2 linked regions of the Canis lupus familiaris genome follow. The protein of the gene in region 2 interacts with the protein of the main gene of each other region in a pairwise test. Links are inferred from orthologs where the notes say so. Each region holds a gene or a part of one and is shown on either strand. Other genes may lie near its edges. The genes, in order: PRKRA and ADARB1.

Evidence for each region.
Region 1: the proteins of ADARB1 (region 2) and PRKRA interact in binary tests that used the Homo sapiens proteins (3 or more experiments, as listed by UniProt). The link is inferred for Canis lupus familiaris from reciprocal best matches to the Homo sapiens genes ADARB1 and PRKRA.

Annotation. Positions count from the first base shown.
Region 1 is NC_049257.1:22,402,287-22,406,098, forward strand, and holds part of PRKRA (interferon-inducible double-stranded RNA-dependent protein kinase activator A), read right to left. Parts: coding exon 3,785-3,812; intron 2,622-3,784; coding exon 2,504-2,621; intron 872-2,503; coding exon 777-871; intron 1-776. UniProt on the Homo sapiens protein: Activates EIF2AK2/PKR in the absence of double-stranded RNA (dsRNA), leading to phosphorylation of EIF2S1/EFI2-alpha and inhibition of translation and induction of apoptosis.
Region 2 is NC_049252.1:38,698,368-38,702,179, reverse strand, and holds part of ADARB1 (double-stranded RNA-specific editase 1), read right to left. Parts: intron 3,772-3,812; coding exon 2,837-3,771; intron 1-2,836. UniProt on the Homo sapiens protein: Catalyzes the hydrolytic deamination of adenosine to inosine in double-stranded RNA (dsRNA) referred to as A-to-I RNA editing.

The sequences.
Region 1 (3,812 bases), on a different chromosome or scaffold from region 2:
AAAATCCTTCTTTGTTTGTATTAACAACCAAAGGACTCTGCTCTACCCTCAGGATAAAGTTGAATCTCTTGACTACAGAAGTCCTTTCCAGATTGAATCCCTTTGTCCTTCTGGCCTCATTATTTGAGAAACCCTTCTCCAACCGTATGCTCTAGCCACACCAAACTATTTCGGGTTCCCAGATGGCATATACTATTTTACTCCTGGTCTTTGTAGGTGCTCTTTTTTCTTTGAAATTCTTGTCCTCTGCTCTCATCCTGCAGGTCTTGGCTTAGATATTGCCCCCTCCAAGAAGTCTTCCTTAAACTGCCAGTCTTGGTTGGACCTTCTTCTATGTTCCCAAGCCCTCTCTGTTAGGACCAGCCTATTGGGTTCTTTTCTCTTTCAGGAGGCTACAGACTCCCTCATGGCAGACACTGTCTTATTCAGTGTGCACAGAACCTGGCACAAAGTTTGGCAGACAGTATGAGCTCACTAAATGTTTAATGAGTGGATAAATGAATGAAGGCATTGTCAATTTGAAGGCAAAAATGGCACTACTGGCCTGTCATCTTTAGATCACATGATGTGATTCTGAATTTGACTGTGTCTCCCAAGCCCTCTTACCTGGTCACCCTTGTGACAGCTAAAATTAGGTCATGTACATCTGGACAGTGAAGGGACATTTTAAAAATTGCAACTCTACAGTGTCTGTACAACAAGGAATCCAGGGACGTTTCCTACAGCATGAGATGCTTAATCATATTGACATCATAGGTGTTTTGATCATTACTCACTAAAGAAATGTGGTTCTCTGGAGAAATATTACTGAATTTGGCAAGAAATTTCTCAGCAGCGTTCCTCTTGGCCTGTTTTTTTGATGCCCCCTTTCCTAAATTAAAAAAAAAAGAAAAAGAAATGGTAGGTTTAGAAAAGTAATTAGTATCCACAGAGAGTAATCAGATATATAAGGTATTATTTCTGCTCAGAGAATAACTTCATGATCTTTATATGCTCATCTTTGCTTATTGTGCTTCAAACAATGATTTTTTAAAATATTTATGTATTTTAGACAGAATACATACATGAGTGTGGGGGGAGAAGGGCAGAGAGAGAGAGAGTCCCAAGGAGACTCTAGGCTGAGTGCAGAGCCCAATGTAGGGCTCACAACCCTGAAACCACGAACTGAGCTGACACCAAGAGTCAGGTGCTTAACCTATTGTGCCACTCAGGTGCCCCAATACAACTATTAATTCTATTAATTCTTACATTTATGAAGGCACTTTTGACAGTTTATCTTTAATAGTTATACTTTTTGTTTTTTAACAGGCATATTTCCTTATGCCTAGCTATAATGAATCATATTTGGTTTAATTCTAAGTATTCAAATCTATTAAGGTACTTTTGAATCAATCACAACTCTTTCCTTCTTGATGTCTATTTCTTGCTTAAAATCTTCTATAAACTGACAACTATGTGGAATTCTTCTTTAACATGAGTAAGAAGGCATAGGAGATCTGCAATTAAAAGACAAAGTATTATCTACTTCCATGCTTTTTGTTTTACAGATTTAAAAACTGAGGCCTAGAGAGATGAAGTAATTTGCCTACCTTTGCAAACCAAGGGCTGCATCAAGAATGGAAGCTAGGTGGGGTGCCTGGGTGTCTCAGTCGGTTAAGCATCTGCCTTCAGTTCAGGTCAAGATCCCAGCATGCTGGGATGGAGCCCTGCATCAGGCTCCCTGCTCAGAGGGGGGTCTGCTTCTCCCTCTCCTTCTGCCCCTCCCCCCATTCATACTCTTCTCTCTCAAATAAATAAATAAAATCTTAAAAAAAATAGAAGTTGGGGTTCAGTGCTTTCTATATTGACCTGCACTGCCTCTCAAGGGGCTTGCTGATTACTTGCTTGATTACCTGAAACAGATAGCCAATTCCATTTGGTGCCATTTTAAGAATGCTAGAAACACGCTAGAGAAGCTACAATAGGAACCCTCACTAGTACTCTATTAAGTGACTTTTTTCTCAGTTTCTAGTCCTTACAACATGGAAGTTGCTATCATTATAAAGGATAATTTCTACTTTATTTTTATCTAACACTATTTTTTGCCATCTAGCCTCTTATTAATCATCTTGTTTTCAAATGTGATCTTCTAGTCTTCCAATCTTCTAGAACAGCTGTTGAAACTTCCAAGATATTTGCTATTGCTTTTTTCTAAAATAATTTTTAAGCCACTAACACATCAATGCAGACTATGTAAAGTCAATTATTTACTTTGTTGTTACCAAGCTTTTCCATGATTTTTAAAACTATCAAATTAAGCCTAAGTATTCTTAAGCCAAATATATTTTTAAGCCAAATATTTATACTTAAATTCTACTGCAGAAAGAGATAGTAGAATAAGAGTGCATCAAATTTTTCCCCACAGAAATATTTGAAAGGAAACCATAACAGAAATTTCTAGGGTCATTCATCATCTGAAAATATTTCAAACGCCTTCAGTTGTATGAGTAAAAAGAGTAACTACCAGTTTCCATAAATGACTCTAGCCTGCAAATTGTGGTATATTCTCTCTTATGAGCAGGTCCTCCCTCTTGGGAAAGGGTATATTCAGGAAGTCTCCAGCCATGATGAATAGCCAACTCCTAGAAAATGGAGATGAGGCTTCAGTAGTAATTTTTACTATGCAACAGCTTCATCACATAAATGATAGTCTTTCATGATTTCTATCCTATTTCTATTTCTATGTTTGAAAAGAATAATGATATTCTGCAATAGAAAAATGGGAGAAGACCCTGTATTTCCCACAAATATTCCTGCATTTTGTATCTTGCAAGCCCACAATACCGAAACTGAAGCAGTTTACTGCTAGGATGGGAATGGTGTTCTTTCATTAAGCCACAGCGAGCAAATATCAAAGAGCTCAAAGAGAAAGACGAGCTACTATCGCCCTTTTGGGGAACATCGACAGGTCTCACTGTCATCAGTTCCTAATGCCTCTCCCTCCTAGCTACAGACTTCCTGCCCTCAGCTGGCTAACTACTGCACTAGAACACGAGCAGATGAGCAAAGGCAGCAAATATACAGACTTGGACAATCAGGAAAGATCAGGGGAAGAAAACTATAGAAAAGACAGCAAGAAAGGGACCAAAGGCCTGGCTGGGTAACAGGGAGGAGAGTTGTCCAACAGAGCACATAGATAATCTGCAAGAAAGATATTCTGCATGCAGAACTTCAAAGCTGATTTTTTTTTTTTTTGGTAGAATAAGCAAATAGATGACTTCCCCTTTTTTTGAGGTAGGTTACCCAATTTGGGTTTTTATTTATTTGTATTTTTATTTTTTTATAATAAATTTATTTTTTATTGGTGTTCAATTTGCCAACTTACAGAGTAACACCCAGTGCTCATCCCGTCAAGTGCCGGCACTGAGGGGGGCCAATTTGGGTTTTTAATAAAATCTTCTGTCTTAACAGAAGTGGAAAGAAGTTTGTCACAAGAGTGGCAAGAAATATTCTTAAAGTATAAAACACTCTACCCATGTGCACTGGGGTCCTGCTGATCTCAAATGAGAATTCCACAAACCAAAGGCAGATACTGTATATGGAAGAAAATCCAAAACATAAATAAACAGGAGAATAATTTCAAGTTAGTGCTGTAATATCCAATGATCATAACTGGGAAAACAGAATATTATACATCTTATCTTTAAACTATCTATTCCTTGTTTCAGCCCTTGTGATATTATTACTTTATGACATCTTTCTTCAATAGACAAAATGTTACAGAAGGAAAAACCATGTGACTTACCTGTAATGAACCAATAGGATTAAGCTGG
Region 2 (3,812 bases):
GCCGGGCCGGGAACATGACCTCGAGTGTGACGGACATCAGGGAAGGGAAGGGGCGGCAGGAAGATCCACGTGGCTCAGCCCCGCTGCCCTGGCTCGGCCACTGCCCAGGAACCGGCGCCGAGCAGCCCGCAAGGGCACTTATCATAAACTCAGGCCCCAGGGCACCCGACGGCACCCACGGCCGTGCTCTCCGAGGGCCCGTGGCCAGACCCGCCGCGCGCAGCACACACACCAGGCCGGCTGCATGCACGCTCTCGTCCCCACGGCCTACAACTTATCTCGGATACAAGGGTTTGGGAAATGATGCCTGACGGGAGGTGTGTGTGAAGAGCTGCGTCCCCCCAGTCTCACCCTGGGCGGGAGCATCAAACAGCTAGACCCAGGGTCCCCAGCTTGCCCCTTAGCAAAACACTCCCAAATGGACAGAAACGTCGCTCATCCCGAACGACAGCTTATTTTGACAAAAAGGAAAGTCGCCAGGACTTCTTCCTCCTGCCGCCGCCCCGGTCAGTACCAAGGAGCCCCCAGAAGGCCGCGCTCAAGCCAGAGGCAGCGGCACGGACGGAAGACGTGGGCGGCAGGCCTCCCCGCACCCCTGCACGGTGTCACTGCCACACTCGGGCTGCGGGCGACCCGGCGGGGACGGCGTCAAAGATGAAGGACCACGTGTTGCAATGCACATAAAAGAAAAAGATCTTACGAGAAGTTAAGAGAAACGCTTCCGTTCCGTAGAGGCGAGGCGTATCCCAAACCACTGGGCTCAGAGACGCTCAGGGGAGGTCAGGCCCCTACGCGGGCGCTCACTGGTCAGAGGAGGCATCTCCGGCACCCAGGCGGCTCCTCCGTCCCCTTGAAGAGGACACAACCCCCTTCCTACAGGTAGGGAAGCGACTCTCCCTCTACATGCTGGGGGCGGACGACACAACGAGGGTCACGCCCATGTCCCCCAACCCCGGGCGGCCCCCAGGACTGAGAGGCCCCGGCCCAAAGCTGGCGGTGCCGCTCCACGGGATCCAGACACTGAGGGCTCGGCACACCTCACGCGGCCCACAACGTCTGGGTTAAACCCTGAGACGTCGCTATGAACACGATGAGGGCAAAAGGTCCTGAGGCCAGGGACTCAGGGCTGCTCCGGGCCAACGGTGAGGACGCTCGCCACTCCAGAAGCACACTGGAAACTTCTGGTGCAAGGGCACGGAGCCCAGACACCAAGCTGGAAGGGCTGCTCCTATGGGGGCCACTGTAGGTGCTCCCGGGAGAACGTGGTCGTGTCTCCCGTGGGGGCTCCGGAGACACCACGGTTGGGGCTCGGGGAGCTCCGCTGCCGCAGAGGCGCAGAAATGAGCGCCAGGCCCTGCAGAACCCGGGCGAGTGGCACGGGGCAGGGCTGGGATGGGCCCTGCCCGCCAACCCCCTCCTAGGCGGGATCCCGGACGCCCACCCCGGTGAGGCTCCGCGTGGCCCCCGGCGCGGCTCTGGTCTCTGCTCCCGCTGAAGGACAGGCCCAAGCCGGGAAGTGCCCACATGGACCCCCACCTGCCTCCCCGCCCGCCTCCCCGCCACGGGGTCACCAGGCCTCGGGCGGGATTCCAGTCGCCCCCCACACTGCTCTGTCCACGTCTGCTCATGTTCAGGGAAGTCAGGGGGCCTCAGACACTAGGGGAACTCAAGCTGGAATATCCTGCAGCAGACGGGAAACCTGAAAATAAAACCTCTCTAGGGAGCTGGTGCTGCCGATTTATGAAATTATAAATGGGCTAATACCCTCCTGAATAAAGGTTCATAAGATGTTCGCACAGGACGTGATTATTGGGTTTGTGAAGTACCAGTAGGATGTTTTGAATATGGTACTTTATACTGACGCTGTATTTGGTTGCTTCTGGCAAAATAAAATAAAGTGTCTCCTAAAACCTAGAAGTACTGGTGACCCCAGGCAACGGCACAGAGAGGTCACCCTAACAGTGCTCTGAGGCAACGGAGAAGCTGCGACATTCCGGATTCTTCTAAGAAAAATCCAAGCCGTCCCACCTGGTGATTTCCGGTCCTTCGTTTTTTTTTCTGATCAGACCAGTACGTAACTTATCTTCAACACGGATAATATTTTGACAAAATGGCAGAGAAGGGGGGTGAGATTTTCTCCCTAAAATACTAACTTTTTTACTAGGCCAGAAAAAACTCTGGATTTCCAAGAAGAGAAGCAACACATATCAGAGTTCCCTGGAACGTCAGAGATGCCGGCTACACGCGACTTCCCCTTCGGTCTTCCCCATTCGCGAATGCGATGAGCCCACCCCGAAATCCTCCCCGTCTTCCCCCTGGTCTGACGGGCCGAGGAGCAGGGGACCCACGTGGATCCCCTAGGACACTCCAGGTGAAGGTTCCGGGCAGCGTGGATGCTGCCGAAGGGATCCCTCGCCCCCCACCGCCCCTCCAGGACGCCCGCACCTGTTGTGGGGCACCCTCGGCCCGGCCGGTCCCCCGTGCTGCTGTGCAGCGTGGGGCACCCACGCAGACCCGCACGAGGGTGTCGGCTGCCGGCGGGCCAGCCTGGGAGTCCCTGGTGAGACTGCGGGAAGCACGGCTGAGCGGCGCGGGCTGCCGGCTCCGAGGGGCCCCGCGGGGGAGGAGCGTGCGGGAAGGGGCCGCGGGCTCTGGTGGGCGGGGCTCCGTGGGCCCGCGTGGGGCTGCAGGCCCAGGGCCGCCCGCCCGCCCGCCCGCCCGGAGCCGACTCACCGGTGACGATCCGACGTCCCTCAACGGCGCCCGGGAGGCCGAAGCCCTGTCCGAAGCGCCGTCGAGGCGCGGCCAGCGTGGCCGGCAGCGGCGCGTTCCTCACCTGCGGTAGGTGCAACTGCAGGCCCTCGCTGGGGATGGGCTGGCGGGACGGCGTCTGGTCCAGGTGCAGGTTAAAAATGGTCGCCAGGGCGGACTGCGCGGCCCGGGCCTTGGCGAGCTTTTTGTTCCTGCCCGAGCCCTCGAAGAACTGGCCGTCCACCACCACGGACATGACGAAGCTCTTGGCGTGGCTCTCCCCGCTCTCCGACAGGAAGTCGTACTTGAGCCCGGGCCGCAGCTCGTTCAGGATCATCACCGGGTTCTTCCCGCTTGGGGGCGGGAAGGGCGGGGGCCCGGGGAGCGGGGGCTGCGCCAGGCCCGCGGGCGCCGGGGACGCCGCCAGGCTGAGGTCCCCGCTGGAGCTGAACGAGTCGTCCCCGTTGGAGCCCAGGTAGAAGGGCACCTCCGACCTGTCCGGGGTCTCGAAGCCGTTGAAGAGCGTGTCGGGGAAGTCGGCCTGGTCGGACGTGAAGTCCGTGTTGGCGGACAGGGTCCTCCCCATGGCCAGGTGGGCCTCGGAGGCGTTGGGGAACTGCACGAAGGAGCGCAGCGCCTTCTCGGCGGCGTGCAGCTTGGCCTTCTTCTTGGTGGGCCCGGAGCCCTCGAACACCTGCCCGTTCACCTCCACGGACATGACGAACAGAGGCGCGTGCACCGGCCCCGTCTGCGACAGCAGCGCGTACTGCAGGCCGGGCTTGATCTCGTTCAGCTGCATCAGGGCGTTCTTCGGCAGCGCGGGGCCCGGCGGCCGCCTCCTCTTCTTCAGGCGGAACTTGGCGTGCCCGTTGCTGCCCTCTTCCAGGGGCCGCTTCCGGCTGGCGCCACCGCTGCCCCCGTTGGAGAGCGGGGCGCCCTCGCCGGGCCCGGGGGCGCTGCCGTCCTTGGGGGGCACGCTGTCCAGACCGCAGCTTTCCTTAACATCTGTGCTGCTCGAACCTGCGGTGCCCAGAAAGAGTAACTTACAACGCCTTCGTTGC